Stegostoma tigrinum: one gene and its partner. The protein of the gene in region 1 interacts with the protein of each later gene in a pairwise test. Links are inferred from orthologs where the notes say so. Each region holds a gene or a part of one and is shown on either strand. Other genes may lie near its edges. The genes, in order: txndc5 and gmppb.

Evidence for each region.
Region 2: the proteins of txndc5 (region 1) and gmppb interact in a two-hybrid assay, tested with the Homo sapiens proteins (2 studies listed by BioGRID and IntAct). The two-hybrid records come from large-scale screens. The link is inferred for Stegostoma tigrinum from reciprocal best matches to the Homo sapiens genes TXNDC5 and GMPPB.

The regions. Positions count from the first base shown.
Region 1 is NC_081358.1:46,143,134-46,158,928, forward strand, and holds the start of txndc5 (thioredoxin domain-containing protein 5), read left to right. Parts: upstream 1-8,201; 5' UTR 8,202-8,426; coding exon 8,427-8,602; intron 8,603-11,675; coding exon 11,676-11,825; intron 11,826-12,883; coding exon 12,884-12,989; intron 12,990-15,795. UniProt on the Homo sapiens protein: Protein disulfide isomerase of the endoplasmic reticulum lumen involved in the formation of disulfide bonds in proteins. Can reduce insulin disulfide bonds.
Region 2 is NC_081364.1:65,533,561-65,548,908, forward strand, and holds the start of gmppb (mannose-1-phosphate guanyltransferase beta), read left to right. Parts: upstream 1-9,309; 5' UTR 9,310-9,398; exon of another isoform or gene 9,399-9,431; intron 9,432-10,575; 5' UTR 10,576-10,581; coding exon 10,582-10,710; intron 10,711-11,389; coding exon 11,390-11,470; intron 11,471-12,780; coding exon 12,781-12,829; intron 12,830-13,560; coding exon 13,561-13,703; intron 13,704-14,389; coding exon 14,390-14,548; intron 14,549-15,348. UniProt on the Homo sapiens protein: Catalytic subunit of the GMPPA-GMPPB mannose-1-phosphate guanylyltransferase complex. Catalyzes the formation of GDP-mannose, an essential precursor of glycan moieties of glycoproteins and glycolipids. Can catalyze the reverse reaction in vitro.

The DNA of each region.
Region 1 (15,795 bases):
TGGTTTGTGATGCAGAGTGATGCCAGCATAGTGGGCTCAATCCTGCACTGGCTGAGGTTGCTCGGACTGTCCTTCTCAGCCTTACTTATGCCTAAGGTATGGTGACCCTCAGGTTAAACCATCCCCAGTTTCTCTCTCTAATGGAAGAGTAGCCCTATGATTTGGCAAGACTAAGGCAACTTTTTGTTTTATAGAGGAGAATGCTTCTGTTTGAGGAATAACGCATAACTAGAGATCATTAGTTGATTATAGTCACCAAGAAATTCAATAGGAATTTCAGAAGAAACATCTCCAATCAATGAACAGGTCTGAACTAGCCAGTGCAAAGACTGGTTGACGCAAATAGTCAAATCCTTAAGGGAAAACTGAGCAGACATATTAAAGAGAAGGGAATACAGGTCACAGTATAGATTTAGACGATGAAAGATGAGAGGGCACTCAAGTGGAACTCGAACACCAATATGGACAGGTTATAACAAATGTCCTATTTCTGCAATAGACATTGTATATAATCCTATGTCCTTGATTTCTGTGTTCCTCCAACTCTGGCCTTTTGCACATTCTCAAATATCACCATTCTACCATTGGCAACAATGCTTTCAGCTGCTAAGCCCTAAACACTGGAATTGCCTCATTAAACTTTCCCACATCTCTAACTCCCTTGATGTAATTTAGGAATCTGATACCACTTGAATACAAGAAGTCCAGCTCATTGCTCGAACGCACAGTAAAACCTTGTGATCTCAGTCTCTTAAAACCTGATTGAAAGAGCTCTGATTGCAAAGCTGATTGGATCCTAATAACCTCAAAGGCATTCCAAAATTCAGCGCAGCTTTAAATCAGCTCTTCCTTTTTTACCTCTCTACTTATGTTCAATAAGCTTCTTTTTCTTTATTTTTGCTAAAAATTAGTTTGGATTCATGAACTGTTGGAGGACAAGGAGCAGACGTAGGGACTATTATAGAAATAGTTTGTTTTAATACATTCTTGTAGACATCAACCAATGGTAGCATAGGGATAATGTTACCGGAATAATAATCCAAAGATCTGATGAATGGTCTGGCCTGCAAATTCCAACATTGTGGTTGTGAGATATTAATCAATCTGTATTTATAACGCTAGTCTCATTAGTAATAATCATAAAATTACCGGATTGTTTTAAAATCATCTGGTTCATTAAGGTACACCAAGGGAGAAAGCCTGCCTTGCTTACCTATCCTAGCTTCAATGCAACTCCAGATGCACAACAATGTGGTTGACTCTTAGCTTCCCTCAGAAACCACTAGTAAATCATTAATGTGTAACAAACCCCTGCAGAAAAAAAAATTGGAGGTACCTTCACCACATGGACTGTGGCATTTCATAACTGCAGTTCACCACCTTCTTCTCAAAGGTGATTAGGAATGGGCAATAAATACCATTTTTCCACTGATGACGGCATCCCAAGAATGAATTTAAAAAGATGGGATATTGGTGAGCCACTGAAAAACATGTGGTTCTAGAAAAGACATTCCCAGAGTTTTGACCTAGTGACAGTGAAGGTATGGTGATGCAGTTCCAAGTCAGGATGCTGTATGACTATGACGAGAACTTCAGATGGTGGAGTTTTAATGTATCTGCTGTCCTTGTTCTCCTTGCTGATGCAAGTCATGAGCATGTAAGTTCCAAAAAAAACCTTGGTAAGTTTCTGCAGTGCATTTTGTAGATGCTTCTCTCTGTAGCCATTTGCACTGGCAATGGGGGATAGTTAATTTTTAAGCTAGTGTTTGGGGTCCCAGTCAGATAGGTTGCTGTTTCATGGATGGAGTCAAGCTTCTTGAGTGCTGTTGGAGCTACTCTCATGCAGATAAGTGGAAATTTTCCATCACACTCCTGAAAAGTGCCTTGCAGATGATGGACAGGATTCGGAGATTCAGGAGGTGAGTTGCTCACCTCGAATTTCCCAACCTCTGAGTTACACTTGTAGTCACAGAATTTGTGCTAATCTAGTTAAGCTTCGAGCTAATGCTAACCCCCATAATGTTTATGTTGGGGTTTCTGCAATGAACATGCCATTAAATGTTTTGGGAAGATGGTTAGCCTCTCACTTTTTGGAGGTGGGTATTGCCTGGCACTTGTAGGGTACATAAATGACTTGCTGGTAATTTGCCCACATCCAAATGTTTCCCAGGTCTGGGTGCAAAGAAACATGGGCTGTTTCATCATCCGAAGAGGTTTGAAATAAATACTGTGCAATTGTTGCTAACATCTTCTAAAGATGCTGGATGACGAGATTGATGGTGGTCAGGCTGAGGGCACTACCCTGAGGAATTTCAGTGTAAAGCCCTGTGTTAGAGATGCTTGACTTTCAACATCCACAACATCAAGGACAATCACTTTTATCGCATCTTTGGAATCCACCTCAAGGTTAAAATGATATCTGGAAATGAGTGACCACTTCAGACGCCAAAATGAACATTAGTAGACAGCTTGTTGCTGAGTAACTTCTGCTTAGTTTTGCTGTTGGTAATACTTCCAAATGCTTTGCTGATGATTGGGAGTAGCTTAATGGAAGGGTAATAAGCCAAATTAGATTTGGCCTGCTTTTTGTGCCGAATTTTCTACATATTCAGGTAAATGCAAATGTTGCAGCTATCCAGAACAGCTTGGGTACAGGCACAGATAATTCTGTAGCACAAGTCTTCAGAATTATACTTGAGGAGAAATTGGGACCTTTAGCTTTGCCCTATCTGATGTTTCAACTGTTCCTTAATGCTACTTGGAATAAATGAAATTGGCTTTTCATGGTTTCTGTGGTGGCCAAGATGGCTCATTGAATTCAGCACTTCTGGCTAATGATGATGGTAAATAATTCAGTCTTGTTCTTTGCAATGATGTATTGAACTACCCTATAGTTGAGAATTGGGATTTTTCTGAAATGGGTTCTTTGTTTAATTGATGAGTCATCAATTAGGTCTGATCTGAATCGCCTATCTCTGCATGCAGTGTACTTCTTCTGCAGTTTTGCATGTATATTCACCCATATAGCAGTTTAGACCATGTTTGCACCTCATTCCTGGGGGTGTACAGTGCTGCTCCAGTTACACTTCTCGTTAAAAGAAGAGCGGCTCCCAGGCTTGATGGTAATAGTAAAGTGAGTGATATGCCAGGCCATAAGGTTACATATTGTGATTAAATACAATTCTGCAGCCAATGAAGGAGCCCTAGAAATGCTGGAATCAATGGGGATCAGAGCATAAAACCTCTGCTGGTTAGAGTCATACCTAGCACATAGGAAAATAGTATTGGTTGTTGGAGGTCAGTCATCTCAGCTCCAGGATATCTCTGCAGGAGTTCCTCAGGGTAGTGTCCTACACTCAAACATCTTCAGCTGCTTCATCAATGACCATGCCTCCATCATAAGTTCAGAGGCGAGGTTGCTCGCTGATGATTGCACAATGTTTAGCAGCACTTGCAGCTCCTCAGATACTGAAGCAGTCCGTGTTCACACGCAAAACATTCTGGAGAATATCCAGGCTTGGGCTGACAAGTGACATTTACTGTACGCAAATGCCAGGCAATGACCATCTCAATAAGAGATAATCTAATCACTGCCCCTTGACATTCAACAGTGTTACCATCACCGAATCCCGCACTATCAACATCCTTGGGGTTACCACTGATCAGAAACTCATCACTTACACACAGTGGCTACAAGACCTGATCACAGGCTAGGAATACTGAAGTGAGTAACTCACTTCTGAGTCCCCAGAGCTGGTTCACTATCTACAAGGTACAAATCGGGAGTGTGATGGAATACTCCCCACTTGCTTGGATGAGTGCAGCTCCAATAACTCTCGAGGCTTGATGCTAGGCCCGAAACATCAGCTTTTGTGCTCCTAAGATGCTGCTTGGCCTGCTGTGTTCATCCAGCTTCACACTTTGTTAGCCCGCTTGATTGGCACTACTTCCACAAGTATCCACGCTGTCCGCCACTGACACTCAGAAGCAGAAGTGTGTACTACCTAAAAGATGCACTGCAGAAAGTCATCAAAGATCCTTAAACAGCACCTTCTGAACCTACAATCTCTTCTATCTATAAGGACAAGAGCAGCAGATACATTAGAACACCACCATCTTTAATTTACACAAGTACAGTACATGGACTCACTCTGAACCAGACCCTAGAATAAGGAGATTCTCTGAGACTCCTGTTTATAGCCGTCAGCCAGGGGTCCCTGATTGGCCGGGTTAACAACTCCAATCAGGGATCTCACACTCAACAAGATCCATTTGGCTATCCTCATTCCAATCACTACACATCTTTTTAAAACTGGTTTTAAATTAGTAAGCTCATGTTAGGCCTCTGGCTAACTGGTCCAATAACTTTAAAACCATTGCGTCACCATGCCTCATGAATTCTATGCTGCAGAATCTGCTGGAGGGGAACGCATGATGGTGGGAAGAGGGCCTGTACAAATGCAGTGCAATACGAAGACTCATACTCACCCTTCCTGTTTTTGATCTAAACCTATCTTTATCATCTTTCACTCCTGTATCTCTCTTACTTTCCTCTAGATTCCCCTTGAACAGATGTCAGCTCTGGTGCAGTTGGTAGCACTCTTACCTCTGAGTCAGCAGGTTGCAGATTTGAGTTCCACTTGAGAAACTTGAAAACAGGAATCCAAGCTGTCAATCTGGTTCATTACTGAGAAACAGTATTCACAGTGCTGTTTTTTGGATGAGATGTTGCACTGAAACATTTTCGAAATACAAGAGTTCTCACGCAGAGCCCTGACTAGTAGTTACCGTCGAACATACATCACAAAAGATTATGTGGTCATTATTACAGTGCATTTGTAGGACCTGCCTGTGTGCAAACCGGCTGCCACATTTCCCACTTTACAACAGTTTGAGGAATACTTAGTTAACATAAACCTTCATAAGATCTTATTCAATTAATTGAATAATTCAATAATTTGTAATAATAGAGATTATTACAAGCTTTTTAGAAGTGTAATTTATGAAACTCATGTCAAGTCTTCTTGAGTTCTATGGTTTCATCACATTCTGGATAGGCAGTTTCCCCAGTATTCTTTAGTAATGACTATCTTATAGCTATGACCATCATGACTTCAGCAGGAGTGGAAATGCCTCATACACTCCTCTGCCTATTGATAAAATCACAGAATTGGTAAGGCGCAGAAAGATGCCATCCTGCCTTACCAGCTCCTCAAATGAGCATCATTACCTGGTGCCAAGCTTCTACTTTTTACTCCTTGCACACTATTTCTATCCAAATAATCGTCCAATGCCTCCTTGAATGCTTCAACTGAACCTGCTTCCACACACTTCCAGACAGTACATAGTGTAACCCAACTGAAGGGTAAAATCAGCACAGTCCTACTCTCTCATTAGAGAGACAACTGGCGATGGTTTAACCTGAGGGTCACCACCACCCTTCAGGTGAGGGGAGAAGTTGAGAACAACAGTCCTTTGTGGTAATCTCAGCCAGTGATAGAATTGAATCCAAGCTGTTGGTATCACGCTGTATTGCAACCGATCTGTCCATCTAACTGAGCTTAAATCCACAGGGTTTCTCATTCCTTGAACTATTCTTGTAAATTGTTTCTGTGCTCACTCCTATGCGGTCATATCTTCCCTATAACGTTGTGCCCACAACTGTACATAATATTCCAGCTAAGGTCCGTCAATAACTTGACTGAGATCTTTTAAGAGTGACAAAAAAGTTTAATAAAGGTAGAGCAGTGCATGTTGCTTATGTGGACTTCAGCAAGGTGTTTGACAGGATTCCACATGGTAGACTGATGAGCAAGATTAGATCACATGGAATCTAGGGAAAGCTAGCCATTTGGATACAAAATTGGCGTGAGGGCAGGAGATGGAGGGTGGTGGTGGATTTTTTTACACTGGAGGCCTGTGACCAGTGGTGTACTACAAGGATCGGTGCTGGGTCCACTGCTTTTTGCAATTTATATATATGATTTGAATGTGAATATAGGAGGAATGGTTAATAAGTTTGACAATGACACAAAAATTGATGCTGTCATGGACAGTAAGAAGGTTATCTCAGAGTACAATGGAACCTTGATCAGATGGACCAATGGGCCGAGGAGTGGCAGATGGAGTTTAATTTAGATAAATGTGAGGTGCTGCACTTTGGTAAGGCAAATCAGGGCAGGATATTACACTTAATGGTAGGGTTCTAGGGAGTGTTGCTGAACAAAGAGACTTTGGGATACAGATTCATATTTCTTTGAAAGTGGAGCTGTAAGTAGATAGGGTAATGAAGAAAGCCGAAAGAACTGTTGATGCTGTAAATCAGAAACAAAAACAGGCATTTCTGGAAAAGCTCAGCAGGTCTGGTAGCATCTATGGAGAGAAATCAGAGTTAACATTTTGGGTCAACTGACCATTCCTCAGTTCTGAGGAGAGGTCACTCGTCCTGAAACATTAACTCTAATTTCTCACTAAAGATACTACTGGACCTGCTGAGCTTTCCCAGCAATTTCTGTTTGCGTCACGAAGAAGGCATTTGGTATGCTTGCCTTTAATGGTGTCCATGCATTGAGTATACAAGTTGGGATGTCATGTTGCAGCAGAACATTGGTTAGGCCACTTTTGGAGTACAGTGTTCAGTGCTTTATGAATGATGCTGTTAAGCTAGAAAGGGTTCAGAAATGATTTGCAAGGATGTTACTAGGGTTGGATTGTTTGCAGTACTGGGAAATATAGAATAGGCTGGGGCTATTTTCCCCAGAGCGTTGGTGGCTGAGGGGTGGCTTTATAGAAGTTTATAAAATCATGAGGAGGCTTAGGTAGGGTGAATAGCCAAAGTCTTTTCCCCAGGGTCGCAGAGTCCAAAACTGTAGGGAATAGGTTTAAGGTTAGAAGGAAAAGATTTAAAAGGGACCAAAGACAACTGTTTCACACAGAGGGTGGTGTGTGTATGGAATGATCTGCCAGAGGAAGTGACAGAGAATGATATGATTACATTTTAAAGGCATCTTGGTGGGTACTTGAATAGGAAGGGTTTAGAGGGAAATGGGCCAAATGCTGGAAAATGGGGAAATATAAATTTAGGATATTTGGTCAACATGGACCAGTTGGACGGAAGGGTCTGTTTCCATGCTGCACGGCTCCAAGACTGTATTCTTGTTTCCTTCTCCAAAGTGTTTTTTCACTTTCCTTTAAACCTTTTGCATTCTCTTTGTTCCTCAATTGTATTTTCTGCCTTTCACCTCTCGTAAACACAAATTTTCTTTCTAATGTTAGTTTCTACCTACTTTGTAATCCAGGCAACTCTGGATTAATTTCTCTCATCCTTCCCATTTGCAGGAACATGGAAGTGCCCAAATAACTTTCTCTTTGAAGGTAGTTCTGTATTCATTTCCGGCTTTTCTGCCAGTCAATTCTGATCTTGTCCCATTGAAGTCAGCTCTCCCACAGTTGATTTGTCTTGCTGTGGATCGTTGCACGTCATTTTCCACTATCATCCTGAACTTTATAACACAAACATCATTCTCTCCTCACATGTCCTGTACATATAGTCGTCCAGGGTTCCAATGTGTCCATGGCTTCCTACATGTTACAGATCACATTTTCCACTCGAAGCGAGCTGTCAAGTCTACGTATATAAAGACATAAAGATCCGGCCCGAGACGGGAGGGGAGAAACTGTTCCCTTGGTGGAAGGATCAAGAACCACACGGATTCAGACCTTTGACAAAAGAAGGATCAGAAACATGGGGAAAAACTTATTTGCACATAGTGAAGGCTCGGATATGGAATGCATGGTCTGAAATGTGGTGGAGACAGACCCAATCTTGGCTTTCAAAACACATTTGGATCATTATTCTATGAGCAAATAAATTACACAGCTACGTGTGGAAAGGCGGGGGAGTGAGACTAGTTGAGTTACTGTTGCAGAGAATCAGCAGAGACACGACGGGCTGAACGAGCTCCTTCTGTTCTGTGACCACGTACACATTCATCCACATTGCATTCAAAGTTTGATTCAGCCGCATCCTGAGTACTGCAGCGTAACCTTCCCGCAAGCTCTCCTCACTGTAACTTGCCAGCCGTGAAATGCTGACGAAGAGACACCACGCTAGCTGCATAATATCGTGTGACCCTCCCACTGGAAACGAGGAGGCTTTGATTGACAGTTCAGGCGGAGCAAATAAATGTGTGTGTTTGAACGCTGCCTTACCCTGTGAACTGGCGTGAAGCTGTGGTAAAGCAGGCAGCCTTTCTCCATTGAGCCTGCCTGCATTTGGTTCAGTTTGCGGCTGCTGTAGTGCAGTGACACCACGTAGACTTTCCCGGACAGAGAAGCAGAGGCGCTGACTTCTGATTTCCCAGCTTTTGGATTTTGTTGCTGTTTGTTTGTGTATGTGTGTGTGCGCGCATTTGGTTGAATGAGTGATGGCCTTCTCCAGTTACCTGTCCATCTTACCCCTGCTGGTCTCTCTGCTCCTGGGCAGCCTGCGCTTCTCTTTACAGGAGCAGGAGGACGATCACAGCAAACACCTTTACACCGCCGAGCTCTTTAGCCACGCCGTGCAGACCGCTCCTCACTTCATCATGTTCTTTGCACCTTGGTAAAGTTTGCCATCTCTTTTTTTTGATCATTATTGATTGCATTCAGATGCCTTTAGGGGAGGATTGACTGATTTTTTTGTTATTGCATATACTCGGATTTTTGCAGTTTTGCTTTGTTTTGGAAATTGCGGAAACAAAACTTTGTAGGCGAAAGAGAAGTTAGAGACTTTCCATTGGGTGGAATAGTGAAAGTTGAGTGGGAGTTTAAAATTATCAGCCGCAGTTCCTCCAGAAAAGTTGTGGGGGGGGGGAGGCGTGGGAAGTGGACAAGAGGGTAGTTTGAGATCATATACGTGTTACTGTTTACAGTATTCACTTCAGTCAGTATTTGCCCCTGTGTTCCATTGTAATTCCCAACGTGTTGTTATGGGAGCTGTGTACGTGGCAGCAAAGGATGGGAGATCACATTACGTAACAATCTTTTACAAAAGCGGTTTGCTCTTTGGGGCGAGGTGCTTTTGTTAACAAATGCAAAAGGAAGTCGTGGTATCTTAAACGTTTACATTGCAAACCTCCAGCGTTTGCTTAGTTGCAAACATGAATGGGATTTGCAACTACGTGACCGCGCCTCCCCACCCCGGCTCCTCATTGTACTTTGACATTCTCTGTACTTCCTTTCCCTGTACTTCCTTGTTGAATGTATGTCTGGTGAGGGCATCCCCTCACACTGAGACAGGTGCCTCATGACCTCAACTTATTCCTTCACCAACGTTTGATGGTTAATCTGTCAGCAGGCCCTGTGTTACATTGGTTGCTGACTCTGATGCGGTGCAGAATCAATTTTTGATTAATAGCTTAAATATATGTCTTTCAGGCACCATTTCTTTTGAGTTGCCATCCATGTCAGATGCATATTTAGGCATGACTGAGTTTACAAAAATGTGTTTTTCTAAGTGGATTTTTTCATACAGTGCTGTGCGATCTGCTTTTAAAATCCTGAAATATTTGTTATAGTACTTCAGTTTGCCTTCCATTTGATTCTGTTTGAAAAGAGTGGATTATCTGTCAACTCTTTCTAAAAGGCAATTAATGTTTGACCAAGTGTTAGTTTAAAAACTGTAATTGATAGGTGTCTGTTAATCAAATATTAAGGGAAGCCGGGCAAAGACAAGTATATAGAGTTAGTTAGGTAGAGAACAACTTGGAGGGTTGCATGATATCCTGTTCCAATATTCCTGTGTCCACCTTCCCATAACACACTTTTTAGTGGATTTCTAGCTGACTACTTCTAATAACTGCAAGATTTAAATTCAAATGCACTCGACTTTCTGAAGTAGATTTATACCATGGATGGACTGCCCCATAGGATGAACACACATTACTTAAGAACAACATGCAGTTGATATCGGATCAGTGAATATAGTAGGCATGGGGACCTTGTATCCAGGACTGTTGATCTATTTGAATTTAAGTCTGTAACTGATACCGAGATTGTTGAGAACATGTTGGTAACTTCAGAGATATCGTACGTGTTCATTTTTCCAGGCACACAAACAATATGCAACATGTCTACATGTATTGTATGGAAATGTTCAACCATGTGTACAAAGATCATTTGTCTTGAAAGATTAATGTCAGATATGTAACTCTCAACTGTTAACTTATAGGTTAAGATGTTTATCATGCAGCATATGATCCCCAGTGATTGTGGAACATTCAAGTTTTAAGTTGGACTATTAATTGGATTATTAATTTCCTTTTGAATTGGAAAATGCACATCCAACATTGAGTGGAGAGCCAGCTGAATCCGGCTGGATAGGGACGGGTGAATGGAGAAAGCATACTGAGGTGCATACTTTATTTGATGTCTATCACAAAGAGTACCTCAATAGTACCACTTCTGACTGAACTAACTTAGACTAGGATGGCAGGTGAAGACAGAACCAGCATGAGTGGAAAAGCTTAGTTGACCTTGCAGTTAACAATCTGCCTCTCATAGATGAAAATGACACATGGTATTGGTGGGGGTGATCACTACACAATGTATGCCGAGACTATCTTCCTTATTCACACTGACAATGACTCTTGATGAGTTGTGTGACATTACTGCCACGTTAAGTGGGATAGATTAGAGCAGATCTAACATCTCAAATTACGGCATTTATGATATGGGTAGTCAGCAAAGAATTGCATTCAGCCACAACCTGTAAACTCAGGTCAGCACATCCCTCACTCTACTACTATTGACCAGCCAAGCATCAAGCTGATTCGATAAAGAGAACATGCCAAAAGCAGCACATAAAATTAGTTGTCACCCTGCTAATGCTATTGCACAGAACTACGTACAGCTAAACAGTGGAAGTAACATTTTGAAGTGACCCAGTAACCAATAGGTTAAATGGAAGCTCTTCATTCTTCCACAACCAGTAACAAATGATGGTAGACAATTAAGCAACCAGTTTGAGGAGGACGCTGTGTGAATGGCCTCATTCTCAACATGCATCTTTGTAGTTAGTGCTCACTGGTGCTACTGAGCATTCAGGGATTGAATGTTTGTGGACGTGATGCCAATCAAGCAAGCTGCTTTGTTCTAGATGGTGCAAAGCTTCTTGATTTGTTACTGGAGCTGCACTCATCCAGGCAAATGTGAGTATTCCATCACACTACTGACTTGTGCCTTTTAGATGGTGGACAGACTGTAGGGAGTTCGGAGGTGAGTTACTCACTCCAGGATTCCGAGCCTCTGACCTGCTGTTGTAGTCACAGTATTTATATGGTTAATCCCAAGAAAAAACACTTAGCTCGCGTGTGTAAATGACTCAACTGCATTCACAGCCAGATTTGTTGAGTCAGTGATCTATCGCTGTCATCTCCTGAGGTTCCTTTCATCGTAGATATTGGTCCTCAGGAAATTTGATGTCCCCTTGTGTCTCTGGGACTAGGTACAGTCATGCTGAACCATTAAGAAATTCGATTAAATTCTGTTTTTCTTTCATCAGCACAGTGCATGAGGAAAAATCTATCATAATTTAGAGATGCTTCTGTACAGGTAGTACAAGCTTTGGATTCTAATCAGTTTTCATGCCATTCATTCTACACTTCTACTAAATATATGCTATCTATTCTTAACAGGTGTGGGCATTGTCAGAGACTTCAGTCCACATGGAATGAACTAGGGGACAAATACAACAGCATGGAAAACACTCCAGCAAATGTGGCTAAAGTTGACTGCACCAAAGATACACAGACCTGTTCAGATCAAGGAGTCCGTGGATATCCTACGTAAGTGGTGTGCTTTGAAAAGGTGATGTTTCACTGAAAGTGTTTTTAAACATCATGCAGGCCTGGAAAGGATGAGTCACCCTTAAGTGATTGCCAGTCATCTGTACTGTCTGAAGATGTAAGCAGTTTGAGATTTCTTCATTTTGGGCGCTTGATTTTGATTTAAAGGGGTGATGGAATAATCTTGTTTGATATTCTGGAGATTTTAGTTTAATTTGATTCAGTGAGCAGCGGATAATATGAAGTTCATTATTACACAACTTTATTTCTGCATTTCGTTCCCAACAACACTTGTAAAAATAATAAAACCAAATGATCAAACCAGTAAAATGTGATCTCAAGTACATTAATGCAGTGTTCTCTACAAGTAACAATTGATTGCAATCGTCAGTAGGTTTGGGAAGATGGCATTCAGTGTAATTTGGAAATGTATTTTAGTAATTATGTTTCCATGACGGGGGTGGGTGGCAGTGGTAATGTCACTGGACTAGAAGTCTAGAGCCCCAGGCTACTGATCAGGGGCATGCATTCAAATCCCTTCATGGCAGATGGTGAAACTTGAATGCACTAAGATGTTTGCATTGAATTGCTAGTCCAATGCTGACCATGTAACCGCTGTCAATTGTTGTAAAAAATGATATGATTTAATGTACTTTAGGGAAGGAAGTGTGCCATGCTTACCTGGTCTGGTCCCAATGGGTCTCCAGTGCCACAGCAACATGGCTGCCTCTTACCTACCCTCTGGGCCTTACACTCATCCTCTAACTAAGTACAATAAGAGACACATCTTTGTTATAATAGTGAGTTCCAACTAATCAACTGTATTTAAAGCATAACTTTATTCATGCCTATGTCTCACTCACTTCGACCAATGCTTTCAAAAACAATGATCACTTGGTCACTGTAAATCATGTTTTTTGGCCTTCTAATCTTGCAAGATGCTTTCAGCAGAAAACGTTCAATTTGTTTTTAATTAAACAGCATTTTGAATCTAATGTTATATCTGTAATGCATTTTCTGTGTGGGCTAATTGTCTCACTTTTGGATTTTCCTTTTAGACTGAAGTTGTTCAGACCCGACCAGGAAGCAGTGAAATATCAGGGACCCCGTGACCTGCAGTCACTGGAAACGTGGATGCTTCAGACCCTGAATGCTGAACCTGCTGTAAGTCTTCAGAAAGTCATTGTAATCTCAAACTTGGGAATGTTTTAGAACCAAGACTGTTGCTGAGAAATCTACATAGCAATTTCTGTTTCTGTTTCATTTTTGTTACTTGCCATTTGTAACCAAATGGTTACATAGCTTTTGTTTTTATGCAAAACTTGCAAACTGACAAACTTCCAGCTGTATTCACAACGTACTTTCACCAAGCAAGCTGCTTTTTGCACCATAAGTAACAACTTCTTCAGGTGGTTCTGCAGAGAAATGCGTACAAGTTATAAATGAAACTCATAGCAGGTTTGTATTGATGTGCAAAAACAACTCAACCTGGCATTTTCATTCATTTTCCATTCATACTGCATAGAGAGAGTATTTTGCATTGCTTATCCTGAGAAATTTAAGGAAAAACACTCATGGACTCTACTGTGGTGAAGACCAATTTGTAGTTTAAACCTGATGGGCCGAGAGGCCTCCTGTATGTATCTCTAGGAATGTACAAAGTAGAACTGGTAGCTTTTGAATACTCCAAAGAGATTTTCAATTATAAATAAAAACAAAGTTATCATGGCCACACAGTATGTATAGTGAGAGAGAGAGAGATTTAACATTATTGCTATATGACCTTCCATCAGAATTGAGGAAAGTTAGAGATTTGATGGGCTCTGAATAAGTGAAGAAGGGGAGGGGAAAGATCAAAAAGGAAGCTCTGAGTTGGTGTGGAGGACAGAGTACCTTCAACGAAACGTTGCATGTCAAAAGAAGCCAGAGAATGATAATGAGACAAGATTATACACAAAAGATGTGCCTAAGTGAATGAAAGGATAACAGCCACCTGAATGTGAAGTGAGGGGATTAAGAAGGAAACAAGAGAAACAAAACTGGCAGAAAGACATGAAACAAAATGGCGTAAAGGTTATGGTCTAAAATATTATGTTCAGTGTTTTGAAGTTGAACGTTGAGGCACAGCTCCGTGAGCTTGTGTGAACCTTCAGTGGAGCAATGCGGCAGGCCAAGGCTGGGGGTAAAGTAGAGGTTTGAAGTGACAGCTGAAACTCAGGGTTACACTTGCAGTTTGAACAGAGGCATTCAGTAAAACAGTCACTCTGCTTATTTGGTCTTGCCAATTTAGGGAATTTGGCTGGTCATAGGACACTGTTTTTCTGTCTGTCATTATATTTTTAGTTTTACTTTTGACTCTACCACAGAATAGCCTACAGGTTTATAGTATTGTAACCTCTGCAAACTATTTAACCAAAGTGCACATTTTAAAATGTAGAAAATATTTAATGGTTTAATATAAGTATTGCATTATGGGTTCGAACAAATTCCCGTCCAGGCTAAAGGTTGTGTGAAATGCCATTTTCTTTAAATATTAACTAGCTTTTCCCCATACTAATAGACTGTACAAATACCAGTCTCCTGAAATAGTTGTTTATATTAATCATTTAGACAGAGATTGGTTATGAGTTGAGTTCAGCTCAATAACATTTCCAAAAAATTAAAAGCAGGAAGAAAATAAAACTGTCGCTTCCTTGATTTCTCCTTTTCTGCCTTCCACAATCTTATTTGAATGGTCTCACTGACTAATTTATGCCCTGTATTGACTTCTGTTTAGCCTTTCTACTTAAAAAAAATCCTCTAAACATTTCACGAAGAATGGAATGCCAGTGGATTACAAATCCGAAATCATGTGTGTTTTCAAAATGGCAGTCATAATGTTTGTAAAATAGAAAATGCTTGTGCTGTCGGAGTCCTTTTGGGAATTTGTTTTGTTTAATAAAGTATGTAAAAAGGAAATTCATAATTATAGTGACTCAGAGGATCAAAAATAGAGCTATTGCTTTTCGCATCTAAGAAAACGAACAAATATGAATTATCTCCAGCTAGTCGTTTCCTATTCTTCTTGTTTTCCAGCAGCTTAAAATAATGGTGAGCCCTGTGACTCTTCCATTATGCAATTTTAGAAATAAATTGTTGACTATTGATGCCATCTGAATAGATCGTAAGAATTTACAATCAAAAGAGAAGTGTTAGGTTTCCATTCACAAATTACACTTTTTTGTTCAGGTCTAATTTCTGTGGCCTAGACTCTGAAGTCCAAATTACGTTATTCAGCGTTTATTATTCAAACCCTCTGCCGACATGGGATACTTTTGTGCAAATTAATCTTCCCATCCATCCAGACCTGCTCAATAAAATGCACTTTCTCAGCCATGTGATCTTTCCTAAAAAACAACAAGGAAAAGAGTAAACCTCAAAAGTTTGCATTTGGAAAATACCATTGTAAATTATTTAAAATTTCCTCAGTGTGTACTGATATGAATTTATGTATTTGACCGAATTTGATATTGGATGTTGCCTGGGTACATAGAAGTTTGACTGTATAGTAATGTTGTAATGATTTGATACCATAGCTGGTCAAGTCTCGATTATCGGTTCCTTATTTTCAGAAGGTGCAAAAGAGCAGTAGATAAGAAGGGACTATTGTCCTGATAGTCATTTGCATGGTTATGGGAGAAAAATGCAAATGTGTCAATTACCCTTTTAAGATCAGTAATCAGTGAACACAGGAATTACAGTGAAGGTATTTGAATGACGAAATCTTAGTTTTGCATTGACTCTTGTTGTCGTGTCCAACTTTGGTTTATTGCTGTATTAAAGTAGCCTTGAGAAATTATAGAATAGAAAGGATCGAAACATTTTGCATGGACAGGCATTTGTTTGTCAGTGATGTCTCCAGTGTTGAATTACTCACTGATATCCCCTGTGTAAACACTTGTTACAAGTAGCTACTTAGGTTAGATACTGT
Region 2 (15,348 bases), on another chromosome or scaffold:
TCCAAATTAAACTCCATCTGCTACTACTCAGCCCATTGACCCAATTGCTCAAGATCTCTTTGTAGTTGTAGATAACCTTCTTCACTGTCCATTTTGCCACCAATTTATAGGTGGAGTTCTGTGTGAAGAGAAGGGAACAAGGGAATCGTTCCAGGAAAGAGGGAATACAAATCCGGGAGACAATGTTTCAGAGTTAGTAGGAACTGCAGATGCTGGAGAATCTGAGATAACAAGGTGTAGAGCTGGATGAACACAGCAGGCCAAGCAGCATCAGAGGAGCAGGAAAGCTGATGTTTCAGGCCTAGACTCTTCTTCAGAAATGGAGGAGGGGCAGGGGGTTCTGTAATAAATAGGGAGAGAGGGGGAGGCAGATAGAAGATGGATAGAGGAGAAGATAGGTGGAGAAGACACAGGTCGAAGAGGCAGGGTTTGAGCCAGTAAAGATGAGTGTAGGTGGGGAGTTGGGAGGAGATAAGTCAGTCCAGGGAGGACGGACTGGTTGAGGGGCAGGATGAGGTTAGTAGGTAGGAGATGGAGATGGGGCTTGAGGTGAGAGGAACAAAATCAACTTTATAAAATAGCCAGTGCCATTTCTAAAGAAGGGTCCTGACCCGAAACGTCAGCTTTCCTATTCCTATGATGTTGCTTGGCCTGCTGTGTTCATCCAGCTCTACACCTTGTTATCTTAGGGGAGAGAATATAATTTGAGACACCTCAAGCTGAGAGTGGAGAGCGAAGGCAGCTCTGGTGAGAGAACCACACCGAACACAAACTTAAGAATGGAAATATTCAGTTTTGCTCATTTAATTCCTAAGTTTGGTGAGGAAGTGTTGGGCACCTTTTGAAAGGTTAGCAAGCAGTTTAAAGTGGCCAGTCCATTGCTTGTTATTGCTATTATAGAGCAGGCTGGCAGAGAAAGCACATAAAGTTTACTCTGTGATGATGCTGTGGCTTTCAGAGTTATTTTGTTCATTTTTTTGAAGACAGGTTTTAAGGCAGAAGTGTCAAGTAGTCTACCAAAACCATGAGACTGAACAGCTTGTGAGACCTTGGTTTTATTTTTTAATTGGAACAATAGAAGCAGCCTGAATGGGTGGAGTTGAGCTTTCACAGAACCAGGATTTTTAGTTTTTTAGGCAGCAGTTGTTGGTGAGTCTCAGCAGAGTTAGGAGGCAGTGAATTTCTCCCCGACTGTTACACTCTCTCTCTGAGTTTTCTCTGGATGTTTTTCCTCTTGATCTGCTAGAGTTGCGTGTGAGATAACTCTGTTTTCTGAATCTGTCTTTTAGAGCATAGAACAGTACAGTACAGCACAGCCCCTTCAGCCCATGATGTGCTGACCTATTATCCCACTCTAAGATCAAACTACCCTGCATTCCCTATATTTTACTATAATACACGTACCTATCCGAGAGTCGCTTCAATGTCCCTAATGTATCTGACAAAGGGTATGTTTATGGGATGGTACCATACTGGAACTGTTACTGTTCAATAGTAAAATAATGTGTTACTCTGTTAAGTCTTCCGATAGAGCTAAGTTATTCCAAGTTCCTATTTCCTTTAATGTATTTTAACTATAGATTAGAATCCCTACAGTGTGGAAACAGGCCCTTCGGCCCAACAAGTCCACACCGCCCCTTGAAGCATCCCACCCAGACCCATCCCCGTATAACCTTCACACCCCTGAACACTATGGACAATTTAGCATGGCCGATCCACCTGGCATACACATCTTTGGACTGTGGGAGGAAACCGAAGCACCCGGAGAAAACCCATGCAGACACAGGGAGAATGTGCAAACACCACAAAGACAGTCGCCCGAGGCTGGAATTGAACCCAGGTCCCTGGCGCTGTGAGGCTGCAGTACTAACCACTGAGCCACCGTGCTGCTATAATTTTTGAATAAATTGTATTTTGCTTAATGTCAAGTAGTTTGATCAATTGAATTGCATCTGGAACTCGGCACATTACATTTGCCTTTAAAATAAGAAACGTTTGGGGTATAGATTGCTTTCATAATATATTTTGAAGGGGTTTGGTCTAATCTGGTCAGGTCCATAATGACTTCCATGCCCTGAAGAATGTACTGCTGACTATGAGGCAGTAAATGGGCTATTTTAAGTGTATATCAGTTAGTATTAGAGACATATTGACAAAAATTCTGTAGCTTCAAGAAATGGCCTGATCAGACATGCATAGAATATGGACTGCTTTCGAAGCTCACACACTCCTTTGTGTGGTAATTCTCTTTGAGTAGTTTAAAAAAAAACTCTGTATCCTTTCCTTAAATCAGGAACAGACGGTAGTAGGTTATGAACAGACACTAATTCTGGCTGATGAGTTAACATGCAAGGCCATGAACTCAGGAAATATGGGGTCCGTCACAGATCTAGAAGGTGCTAATTGACTGGAAATAGCCCAATAACTATTAAAAAGAAGGCCAGTAAGAATCAGGAAAGGTGACAAAGGATAACATGCCAATACCAGAGACCTGTTTAACAGGCATTAAAGTAAAAGAGCTCTCAGATCATACCAGGAGAAAGTGAGGGTGAAGTCCCATTTAGCGCAAGAGGGCCAAGGGAGTATTGCACAAGTTGAACATCCATCAGATAGCAATAGTGTACCAGGGAAAGTAGAACAGATAGGGGGAAATATCAGTCCCAGAACAAAGAGAAAAGAGAAGGGAATGTAGCGCAGAGCCAACTCTGCTGGTGCAGGTCACCAGGGCGATATCAATAAATTCAACACATAGCTACCCAATGGGAGATCTAAGGAAGAGAATCCAGTCTCAAATCTCAACCAGTAAAATTGGATTGATGTGAAGTTAAATGAAAGTAAATTAATAAATTCCGGGCATTCCATAGGAGGCAGATTACCACCTACCAATCCCTGAAAATCGAATGTATAAAAATACCTGAATTCTGGTCCATGGATTATAAAAATGGACAATGAAGGGTGAAAACTTGGGAATGTCAAACGGCCCAGTAAACAAATCCGACTGCTTTTACCGAAACAGGTTTGGAACCCAGGTTAGGATAAAGAATTGAAAGTGGAATATGTTCTAGTGTGTGTGTTGTCATCCAAAATTTTTGTATTGCTCTTGCACATCAACAAAATATTCACTGTAAACAAATTGGAGATATTGTTCTTGTTGTGGAGAGATCGTAGTGAAAATGGACGATCAATATTCTGAGAATCCCTGCATTGCAGGAAGAGAGCATTCAGCCTATTGATTGTATGCTAGCCATCTGAAGAGCACCCCACCCAATCCCTGTATTTAATATAGCTGATCCAACTAATATGCCCACTATGGGGCAACTTAGCATGGCCAATCCACCTAAACTGCATGTGCTTGGACTGTGGGAGGAAACTGGAGGACCCAGGGGAATCCATGCAGACACAGGGAGAATCTACAACTCCGCACAGATAGTCACCCAAGGAGAGAATTGAACCTGGGTCCCTGGTGCTGGGAGGTAACAGCGCTAACCATTGAGCCACTGTGCCACCCCAACTCCGATTATCAGACTTTAATAAAAGGAATCAGAAACGTTTGCAGACTAAAACTGATTTTAAATCAGGACACTACTCACTTGCTGTGACCATTTGATAAGCTTGGGGATCCCACATGGAACATACAAAACTGCGTATGTCTGAATTATTATTATATTTAAGAAATATTGAAGCTCATAGATGTGTCAAAAATTTGCATCTTTGTCTTTATTCACACTTATACATAACTGCACACATTGGAAATGAAAGTCTACCAGGTAGTGTTCAGTTCACAAAAACAATGGAGCTAGACTTGAAATATACAAATAAACCATATTTTTGTGTTTTACTTTGAGCTATTAAGCAGAAAGAAAGTAGATGGTTTGAACACAGCAAGGATAGTGGAAGCTCCTAAATAAAATCCGAAAGAACTACAGATGCTGTAAATCAGGAACAAAAACAAAGTTGCTGGAAAACTCAGCAGGTCTGGCAGCATCTGTGAAGAAAACATGAGAGTTCATGTTTCCGGTCTGGTGAACCTTCCTCAGAAGGGACTGGAAGGTCCTGCCTCTCTTTCTATCAATGTCATTCCAGCATTGGTGAAAAGAGCAAACTGGGGGAAAAGGAAACACAGTGAATGAAAAGTTGGAGATCTGCAAGCTTTATCATTCCTGAGGAAACAGGAAGGCATTTAAATAGCTGTGAATCAGTTTTCGCTCTTGCAACTCAGAAGAATCTAATAAACTGTAAACTGCAACTGCCTTTAATTTCCAGTCAGTAGCAAATACCTATCTTTCAGACTCTTTGTAAGTTCATTACCTACGGCTTGTGTGAATGTGGTTGTCACATTTTATTGTTTTTCTTGGGTCCCTCTCCTTCACTCCAGCAAACGTGGAATTGGCACCCCCCACTCTGTCCTTCTGATGTGGTTAATTGCGTTTGACTGAAGTGTGGTAACTACATGGTTAAAAATAAGTATTTAACAAATTGTTGTGACTGACCAAGTAGTGGTTAGAAAGGAGGGGAGCTGTGAATATTTTCAGCTCGTTGTGATACAGCTAATTCTTTAATGCTGGACCTCCTGCACATATCATGTTCTCTCTGGCAGGCTCAGAATTGACGATGATTGTCTTCCACCCCGGAGTCGTGAGTCCTGAGATGCTACTGGTGGGCACTGAAGCAGGAGGGCGGGCTGTTCGGGCTTTGGCACACTCCCAACACTCTTGTGCTCACCCTCCATGTTAGCCTGTTGGAGATGGTTAGCTCCTTTGCAAATTCTTCATCTCCAAATTGGGATAGAGGTTCCTGCACATTTATGGGATATTGCGTTTTTCCTGGGATCATTTGATGACGTCGTTGAGTCTTTTCCTCTGCCCCCCTGTTGCCCAGTTACCGTGACGAAGCCCAGAGTACAGAGTTCATTGTGAGAGTCTTATGTCAGGCATGTGGATGAGCTGGCTCTGCTCAGTGCCAACCGATTGACTGTACGCAGTGTCTTGGTATTGGGGATGTTAGCCTGAGAGAGGACACTGATAACGGAGCATCTGTTCAGCCAGGGCATTTGTATGATATCGTGGAGGCATTTTTGGTGATATTTCCCCACAGATTTGCTGTACACTGTCCATGTCTCCACCACGTACAGGAGGCAGGGAACACTGCTGCTGTGTAGACCATGGGCTTGGTGCCTGGTTTCAGGTCTTTGTCATCAAACACTCAGCTCCTCAGATGGACAAAGGCTGGGCTGGGCAGGTTGGGTGAATTTCTACAGTGTACCTTAAGTGTGTAAAGTGCACCTTATGGTGTGTAGATAGTACACACTGATGCTACTGAGCTTCAATGGTGGAGGGAGTGGATGCTTGTGGATTTGGTGTCAATCAAGTGAATTGCTTTGTTTGGATGGTGTTGAGATTCTTGAGTTTTCTCTGACAGCTATCACATATAGCACAGCCTGAACACAGGTTTTTTTATAAGGTGCAGTTCTGAAGGCTGTCCTCTCAGCTTTGGCTGTACATCCAGAGGAAGTCTATACATCAGAGGTTTGGTCATTTATGGAAGGTGCTAATTTGAGGCAAACCCTGACTGCTGATGGGACTGTGTTCCTGATTTTACATTTGTGGTCATTTAAATTGATCTTGTTAGGATGATTCCATATTATGAAAGTTGGAGTACTTTAAATCCAATCCTCTTTTTAGAACTTTCTGGACACCATTTAAAATAAAACCATCTTTGTCACCCACATTTCATGTGTAGCAAACAACATCTTGTGTCCGCGAAAATTCCTATCACTATCACGATCAACTATCAGGGTAATTGCAGTGGTGATAATGGGAACTGCAGATGCTGGAGAATCCAAGATAATAAAGTGTGAAGCTGAATGAACACAGCAGGCCAAGCAGCATCTCAGGAGCACAAAAGCTGATGTTTCAGGCCTAGACCCTTCATCAGAGAGGGGGATGGGGTGGGGTGAATAAATAGGGAAAGAGGGGGAGGCGGACCGAAGATGGAGAGGAAAGAAGACAGGTGGAGAGTATAGGTGGGGAGGTAGGGAGGGGATAGGTCAGTCCAGGGAAGACGGACAGGTCAAGGAGGTGGGATGAGGCGGTAGGTAGGAAATGGAGGTGCAGCTTGGGGTGGGAGGAAGGGATGGGTGAGAGGAGGAACAGGTTAGGGAGGCAAAGACAGGCTGGACTGGTTTAGGGATGCAGTGGGGGGGCAGGGGAAGAGCTGGGCTGGTTATGTGGTGCAGTGGGGGGAGGGGACGAACTGGGCTGGTTTTGGGATGCGGTGGGGGAAGGGGAGATTTTGAAGCTGGTGAAGTCCACATTGATACCATTGGGCTGCAGGGTTCCCAAGCGGAATGTGAGTTGCTGTTCCTGCAACCTTCAGGTATCATCATTGTGGCACTGCAGGAGGCCCATGATGGACATGTCATCTAAAGAATGGGAGGGGGGAGTTAAAATGGTTCGCGACTGGGAGGTGCAGTTGTTTATTGCAAACCGAGTGGAGGTATTCTGCAAAGCAGTCCCCAAGCCTCCGCTTGGTTTCCCCAATGTAGAGGAAGCCACACCGGGTACAATGGATACAGTATACCACATTGGCAGATGTGCAGGTGAACATCTGCTTAATATGGAAAGTCATCTTGGGGCCTGGGATAAGGTTGAGGGAGGAGGTGTGGGGGCAAGTGTAGCATTTCCTGCAGTTGCAGGGGAAGGTGCCAGGTGTGGTGGGGTTGGAGGGCAGTGTGGAGCGAACAAGGGAGTCACGGAGAGAGTCTCCGGAAAGCAGACAAGGGTGGGGATGGAAAAATGTCTTGGGTGGTGGGGTCGGATTGTAGATGGCGGAAGTGTGAGAGGATGATGCGTTGTATCCAGAGGTTGGTGGGGTGGTGTGTGAGAATGAGGGGGATCCTCTTGGGGCGGTTGTGGTGGGGGTGGGGTGTAAAGGATGTGATGCAGGAAATGCGGGAGGCGCGGTTAAGGGTGTTCTCGACCACTGTGGGAGGAAAGTTGCGGTCCTTGAAGAACTCGGACATCTGGGATGTGCGGGAGTGGAATTCCTCATTGTGGGAGCAGATGCGGCAGAGGAATTGGGAATAGGGGATTGAATTTTTGCAGGAGGGTGGGTGGGAGGAGGTGTATTCTAGGTAGCTGTAGGAGTCGGTGGGCTGGAAATGGACATCAGTTATAAGCTGGTTGCCTGAGATGGAGACTGAGAGGTCCAGGAAGGTGAGGGATGTGCTGGAGATGGCCCAGGTGAACTGAAGGTTGGGGTGGAAGGTGTTGGTGAAGTGAATGAACTGTTCGAGCTCCTCTGGGGAGCAAGGGGCGGCGCCGATACAGTCATCAATGTAACGGAGGAAGAGGTGGGGTTTGGGGCCTGTGTAGGTGCGGAACAGGGACTGTTCCACGTAACCTACAAAGAGGCAGGCATAGCTGGGGCCCATGCGGGTGCCCATGACCACCACCTTTGTGTGTAGGAAGTGGGAGGAATCGAAAGAGAAGTTGTTGAGGGTGAGGACGAGTTCGGCTAGGCGGATGAGGGTGTCAGTGGAGGGGGACTGGTCGGGCCTGCGGGACAGGAAGAAGCGGAGGAACTTGAGGCCATCTGCATGCGGAATACAGGTGTATAGGGACTGGACATCCATGGTGAAAATGAGGTGTTGGGGGCCAGGGAATTGGAAGTTCTGGAGGAGGTGGAGAGAGTGGGTGGTGTCACGGACGTAGTTAGGGAGTTCCTGGACCAAAGGGGAGAAAAGGGGACACCTTCTCCCACCCACCCTCCTGCAAAAATTCCATCCCCTATTCCCAATTCCTCCACCTCCGCCGCATCTGCTCCCACGATGAGGCATTCCACTCCCGCACATCCCAGATGTCCAAGTTCTTCAAGGACCGCAACATTCCCCCCCACAGTGATCGAGAACGCCCTTGACCACGTCTCCCGCATTTCCCGCAACACATCCCTCACACCCCGCCCCCGCCACAACCGCCCAGAGAGGATCCCCCTAGTTCTCACACACCACCCCACCAACCTCCGGATACAACACATCATCCTCCAACACTTCCACCATCTACAATCCGACCCCACCACCCAAGACATTTTTCCATCCCCTACCTTGCCCGCTTTCCGGAGAGACCACTCTCTCCATGACTCCCTTGTTCGCTCCACACTGCCCTCCAACCCCACCACACCCAGCACCTTCCACTGCAACCACAGGAAATGCTACACTCGCCCCCACACCTCCTCCTCACCCCTATCCCAGGCCCCAAGATGACTTTCCACATTAAGCAGAGGTTCACCTGCACATCTGCCAATGTGGTATACTGCATCCACTGTACCCGGTGTGGCTTCCTCTACATTGGGGAAACCAAGCGGAGGCTTGCGGACCACTTTGCAGAACACCTCCGCTCAGTTCACAATAAACAACTGCACCTCCCAGTCGCAAACCATTTCCACTCCCCCTCCCATTCTCTAGATGACATGTCCATCATGGGCCTCCTGCAGTGCCACAATGATGCCACCCGAAGGTTGCAGGAACAGCAACTCATATTCCGCTTGGGAACCCTGCAGCCCAATGGTATCAATGTGGACTTCACAAGCTTCAAAATCTCCCCTTCCCCCACCGCATCCCAAAACCAGCCCAGTTCATCTCCTCCCCCCACTGCACCACACAACCAGCCCAAATCATCCCCTCCCCCCCCTGCATCCCAAAACCAGTCCAACCTGTCTCTGCCTCCCTGACCTGTTCTTCCTCTCACCCATCCCCTCCTCCCACCTCAAGCCGCACCTCCATCTCCTACCTACCAACCTCATCCCACCTCCTTGACCTGTCCATCTTCCCTGGGCTGACCTATCCCCTCCCTACCTATACTCTCTCCACCTATCTTCTTTTCTCTCCATCTTCGGTCCGCCTCCCCCTCTCTCCCTATTTATTCCAGTTCCCCCACCCCATCCCCGTCTGTGATCGAGGGTCTAGGCCCGAAACGTCAGCTTTTGTGCTCCTGAGATGCTGCTTGGCCTGCTGTGTTCATCCAGCTTCACACTTCAGGGTAATTGTAGTAATCACTCCAGCCCACTTCACCCCCTCAGGGCGCTCTCCCCCAAGACGCTGCTTCCTGGTCCATCTTATGCACGCGTTTCGTTGTTGGCGTTGCCCTGACCCCGATTCCGATTGGTCAAAGCTGTCCCACCTCCCCTCCTTCATTAACCAATCGATGGAAGACGGATCCTCTCGGAACACTTTCCCCTCCCCTCTCCCGCATTGGCCGGGCGCTGACCTTACCTCCCCCTATTCCCGCCCCCCATTGGCCGGGCCGCCAGCGGCCCTTTCGCCATTGGCTGTTGCCCCGTTACGGCGCGGCGGCAGTGCCACGTCGTTCGATGCCGGAGGTGAGGGTCCGGGGAGCAGAGAAGTAAGTCCGGAGGAGAGCCTGGGATGGAGAGAGGTGGGGAAATAGGGTCCCGAGGGCGAGGGTGACAAACAGTTTGGGAGGGTCGGATGCAGATCCCGGGTTGTGGGGGTGTGGAGGAGGTGGGGGTGTGGAGGAGGTGGGGGTGTGGAGGAGGTGGGGGTGTGGAGGAGGTGGGGGTGTGGAGGAGGGGGGGGTGGGATGGAGGGAGGGAGAGGATGAGGTCTCCTCAGGGGACAGGAGATGACTGAGGGTCTCTGTGATTAGAGTGAGTGAGTGTAGGGGGTGTGACAGAAATGGGCAGCTCCAGTGAGTGGAGGGCACCACATTAGCTGGTCCTGAGAATAGTCCAGCCTGTACCTGTGTGGCTGTGACCAGGTTTGAGCTGAGTAAAGGTCCCACCTGGCTCAGGCACTAGTCAGCGAGGGAGGGGATCCTGAATCGGGGACCAAGCGGCAGAGTCTGCACGTTTCTGTCCCGCCCCGCTCCGGTTAATGGGACCTGTGGTTTGCCGATTCAGAGACACGGCGGTTGGGTGTCAGCGCTGTACATTTCAGTCGGTGCCCATTTCAGGTTTTTGTCTTCGAGGACCAGCAAATCAACTTTATAAAATAGCCAGTGCCATTTCTGAAGAAGGGTCCTGACCCGAAACGTCAGCTTTTCGGCTCCTCCGACGCTGCCTGGCCTGCTGTGTTCCTTCAGCTCCACACTGTTGTCTCTGACTCCAGCATCGGCAGTTCTTCCTGTTTCTGCCTCAGTTACTGGTGTGACTTGAATAAAGTTTGTTTCAGGACTGCACTTCTGCAGGAAAAAAAAACCTGATTGCAGGGTTTCAAACATGTTATGTTAATTCTGGGTCTCGATTTTTTGGAGAGGAAAGGACGTTGAAGATTGCAGAGCAAATGTGTGTTTCTAGAGTAAGGGTTGATGATGAAAGATTTGATGGAAAGAGGAAGGCACTGCCAACCTCAACAAAGGTGGGGCCCGGGAGTGGAATTGCTTTTGTGGGAATAGGTTCAAAGGTGCATTCATTCCACCCTTGACTCAGCTTCAGTCTCATTTGTACAGCGTGATTGTCACCTTCCTGCCATTGCTGGAAAATTGCAGCATCTTGAGGTTCTATTCTTGCATGTTTTCCTCTAGATTGTTGAGTGAGAGCTCCCATTTCATGTCTTCACAGCTGACAATGAAAGCGTTGATTCTGGTTGGAGGTTACGGCACGCGGTTACGGCCGCTGACACTCAGTGTTCCAAAACCGCTGGTGGACTTCTGCAACAAGCCCATTCTTCTACACCAAGTGGAAGCCTTAGTAAAGGTACAGTCAGCCCCTGCCAGAGATGGTTACAATCAGGATATCAGAGAGAGGAGCGCATGTATACCAAGACCGGAACTTGACGATGCAGTGGTAATGTTCTGGCAGCATGTGATAATGGATGGCTGTGTGTAAGGACTAGACAGTGCATCCTCACAGATGCCTCCCACTGCCACTTCATTGTATTTTTCTATTGCACAAACTTTTAAAATTGTACAGAGATCATACTGTATATAATCATTTCTTTTATATTAGTGCTGAAATATTTTGAGGAATATTGTGGATAAGCCAAAACAATTTAATGTTGCAGTTTTCCCTTTCAACTGCATCAGCGTTAGTGCAAGAGATTTGTGACTGCTCATTAATATTGAGTTGACATTTACTTCAACAGCTTAATTGTGGCATGTAGTCAGCACTATGTCAGCCTCCTCTAACATCTAAGTTGGGAAGGGCTGAATATCAAATTGCACTGTTTCTAAACAGGTCAACATGTAGATTCGATTTTTTTTCCCTCCCTCATTGTTTTCTTCAGAATTTCAACTGAAATCTAACAGTATGCAGACTGTTGTAACAATAGCTGTAGGTCCTTATTGGGAATGTAGAATAAATCAGTCTAAAAATGCAGACTATAGACAGGTTCTTGTGCCTCTCTTTTCCCACATCTATTATCTGTTTTGAGCAGGCTGGTGTATCCCATGTAATCCTTGCTGTCAGCTACATGTCGGAGATGTTGGAGAAGGAGATGAAGGAGCAGGAGCAGCGGGTAAGTGGGAAAAGGCTACGGTAGCGGATGGAAATGTTTCCTGCACACTGATTTTCTGTGATTGTGCTAGACATGGTGAAAGCAGAGATTTGTATTGAACTGTGCAGCATGCAACCTGATTGATCCCAGCAGTGTTTTTCCCCTCTTGCTGTGTAATTGTGTTTTGGGATGTTGAATCATACAGGTTGGAGAGGATGATAGGATAAACAAGTGAGAATGTTGATTTGACCCTTGTATGGTTAAGACCATTCAGCTTTTCTCAGCACCATGAGGACAGAGCTCCAGCAGCTCCTGCTGAGTGCTGAACACCCATTGAGCTTAAGGAGCCTCATTCCTATGTGGCCTCTCTACTTTCTACCCTCTGAAAAATTGGAAGATCATTTCAAACTGCAGCCTGTACTTTATGTCATAGCTGGTCTCATTCCCCCGGACCCATGCTCTTTGCAACCCTCTGGAACTGGGCTTGAGCTCATCCCTGGCTGTCTGAGAGGGAAAGGTACTGCCAGCAGAGCCAGGCCTGCCACATCCAGGTGCAGGTAGGTCAACTCCAGGCCCAGCTTGCTGCCTTGAGCATCCACCTCTTTCTCTTTCTGCCTACCTTGCACAAATGCCTGCCTGACTGATGAGCATCTGGTAGACAGGGTAGTAAAGGTGTTCAGCATGCCTACCTTCACTGCTTAGACCTGTGAGTATAGGAGTTGGGATGTCATGTTCAAGGTGTACAGGATATTGGTGAGGCCTATTCTGGAGTACTGTGTGCAGTTCCAGTCTCCCTGTTATAGGAAGGATATTACTGAATTGGAGAGGGTTCAGAAGAGATTTATCAGATGTTGCTGGGTGGAAGGTTTGAGTTATAAGGAAAGGCTAGATAGGCTGGGACTTTTCTCACTGCGGTGTAGGAGGTTGGTGATCTTATAGACGTCTTTAAAATCATGATGGGCATAAATAAGGTGAATTGCAGGGTTTTTCACCCATGGTAGGGGAGTTTCAAAACTAGGGGCATATTTTTAACTGAGGAACAAGTTTTAAAAAGGACATGAGCAACATGTGTGTGTGGAATGAACTGCCAGAGGACGTGGTGGATGCGGATAGAGTTACATTTAAAAGACATTTGGATGAGTGCATGGATAGGAAAGGTTTGAAGGCCAAACGCAGGCAAGAGGAACTATTTTAGTTTGGGAACGTGGTAAGGATGGACTAGTTTGACTGAAGGGTCTGTTTCCATGCTGTATGATTCTATGAAACAATAGGAACAGTAACTGTAATTGTGTATTCTTTACTAACCAGCCATCTTGTGTTATTTCCTTTAGCTGGGTATCCGGATCTCTCTCTCTCATGAAAAGGAGCCCTTGGGAACAGGTGAGAAACTTGGCCACATTGATATACTGATGACAGTGAAACCCTCGTGCTCCCCTTTCTGATCTTCCCCACTCTGCCCTTAAGGGGACTTCACTTCAGTTATTCATTTTTGTCCCTAATGGAATCCTGGCTTCTCCCTTCTGCACTGTAGATTTACAAAAAACTTTATTTCCCTTAAATTTCATTAATTTCTGTCCCTGAATCCCATCCAAAATGGAATAATAGAGCATCTGATGAGGGCAGCAGTTTAGTGAAATAAAAGGACAGGAGATGGTTATTAAACTCCTTCTCTCTTTTCCGGCGTTAAGTCGTTGATGATCTGCACTGAGGTGAATTTATCTGTCTCTACTCCATATATCTTCGTACCTTTACTGTCATACTTCATATGTTCCTAGCTATTTCCATCTTAAGCAGTCTATTTGCAAGAAGAGTCTTGACCCGAAACATCACCTTTCCTGTTCCTCTGATCATGCCTGGCCTGCTGTGTTTCTTCAGCGCCACACTGTGTTATCTCTGACTCCAGCATTGGTAGTTCTTCCTATCTCTGACTACTGAGTTAGCTTTTTTTTTAAAAAAATGATACAATAACCCTGAAGAAGGAATCCGTGCAGGGCAGAGAAGGTGCTTCCACATAGAGTATGTGTCCGTGGATGCTGATTGTGGATCTTGCTAGGTCAGGAGCACCTGGCTGTCTTGTAGCTTTTATGACTCTTGTGTGTTGCCTTTTGCAGCTGGACCCCTCGCTCTGGCCCGTGAGCTGATCACCAGCAGCTCGGAGCCCTTCTTTGTCCTCAACAGTGACGTTATCTGTGAGTTCCCCTTTGAAGAGATGGTCCGCTTTCACAAGCATCATGGAAAGGAGGGTACTATTGTGGTGAGTTGTGCCCAGGTGGATGCTCTGGGGACTTGGATTCAACACCTCCCACTACAGCCAGTGCAGTTCCCATGGATAAAACCTGGAATTCACAGTCAGTTTCAGAGAGGATGATCACGAAACTACGATTGGTTCATTAACATCCTTTAGGGAAAGAAATCTGCCTACGTGTGCCTTCAGAACCACAGCAAAGTGGTTCATTCTTGACTGTCCTCTGCAATGGCCTAGCAAACCACTCAGTTGGCATTTGGGGGGGGGAGAGACAGATCCCAAATACTAGCCGTGCCAACAAGATCCATGCCCGATGAAATAATTTTTTGTTTTAAAATGGTATTGCATGTTAAAACTGCTGTAGTGACCAATGTAATCAGTAAACTTCACCTCCTGTGCGCTGCACCAGTTCACATTGCAAAGTTACAGCTGTAACAGCAAACTCTGGCCTCAAGCATTGTATGTAAGGAATTATTCCTCAGGCAGGAATGAGGTGCTGGGAATATCTGCCTATTTCCTGGGAACGATGGACAGTACTGGGGAGAGTCTTCTGACTGTTCCAGCAACTGGACAATGTCTCGAGGGAGACCCAAAAGGAAACGTGTTTGTGGAAATTGCTCCCTGACCTTGTCCCTGCCACTTTAGCTTATCAATGTCCCTCTGACTGTCTTTTAATAAATCCGTCTCATTGACAGGTCACTCGGGTGGAGGAACCATCCAAATACGGGGTTGTGATCTATGAAGCAGAAATTGGGCGAATACATCGATTTGTGGAAAAGCCTCAAGTGTTTGTGTCAAACAAGATCAATGCAGGAATGTACATCTTCAGCCCAATGGTTCTGAACAGGATCCAGGTGCGTTTCCCTTGACGTGAAGCGGCTATATTTGGTCTGTACTCTATTCAGCAAGTGATGAAGGAGATCTTTGGATCCCAGTGGTAAAGATCCTCAGTGTTTCCGTGAACTTGGTATAAAACATGGCCCTACTACCCTGTAGCCTGCACAAACCTCAAAGTGAAGGCTATTTAACGCAGGCAAATGAAGTGCTAAACTCTGTTTGATTAGATTCCACTGCACTGTCCCCATCCACGCCCCAGGATGGCAACACCATGAGGTTAGCTACAGAGTAAAGCCCACTCTACGCTGTCCCCCAGCAAACAGTCCCCGGACAGGAACGGCACAGGGTTAGATACAGAGGAAATCTCCCTCTGCACTGTCCTCATCAAACACTCCCAGGACAGGGAAAGCTCATGGTTGGATACAGCTGTCATTGAATCGAGCTGCATCTGCAGAATTTGAAGGTGCTAAACTTCTATTCTAGCATTCATTAATCCTGCACTGATGAGGAGTTAACTTCATTTTCTGTTGGATTGTTAAGGCTGCCCATTTCTGCAAGTGGAAATAATCTATTCCTCTCTTGCCTCTATTTATCTTTTCCTGGGTCACACCCTATAATCTTGACTTCCTTTATTCGGTTTTGATATGAGTGGTACTAGATGGACCAGTGCTTGTTGCCGATCACTAATTTATACTCGAGAAGCTGGTGAACCACTGTCCTGAAACAGTGCATCACTACTCAAACGCAACCTTGAATAGCCCCTGGTCTGCGCACACGCACGCGCACACACACTCCTACTGTTACTTAGTGGTTCCAA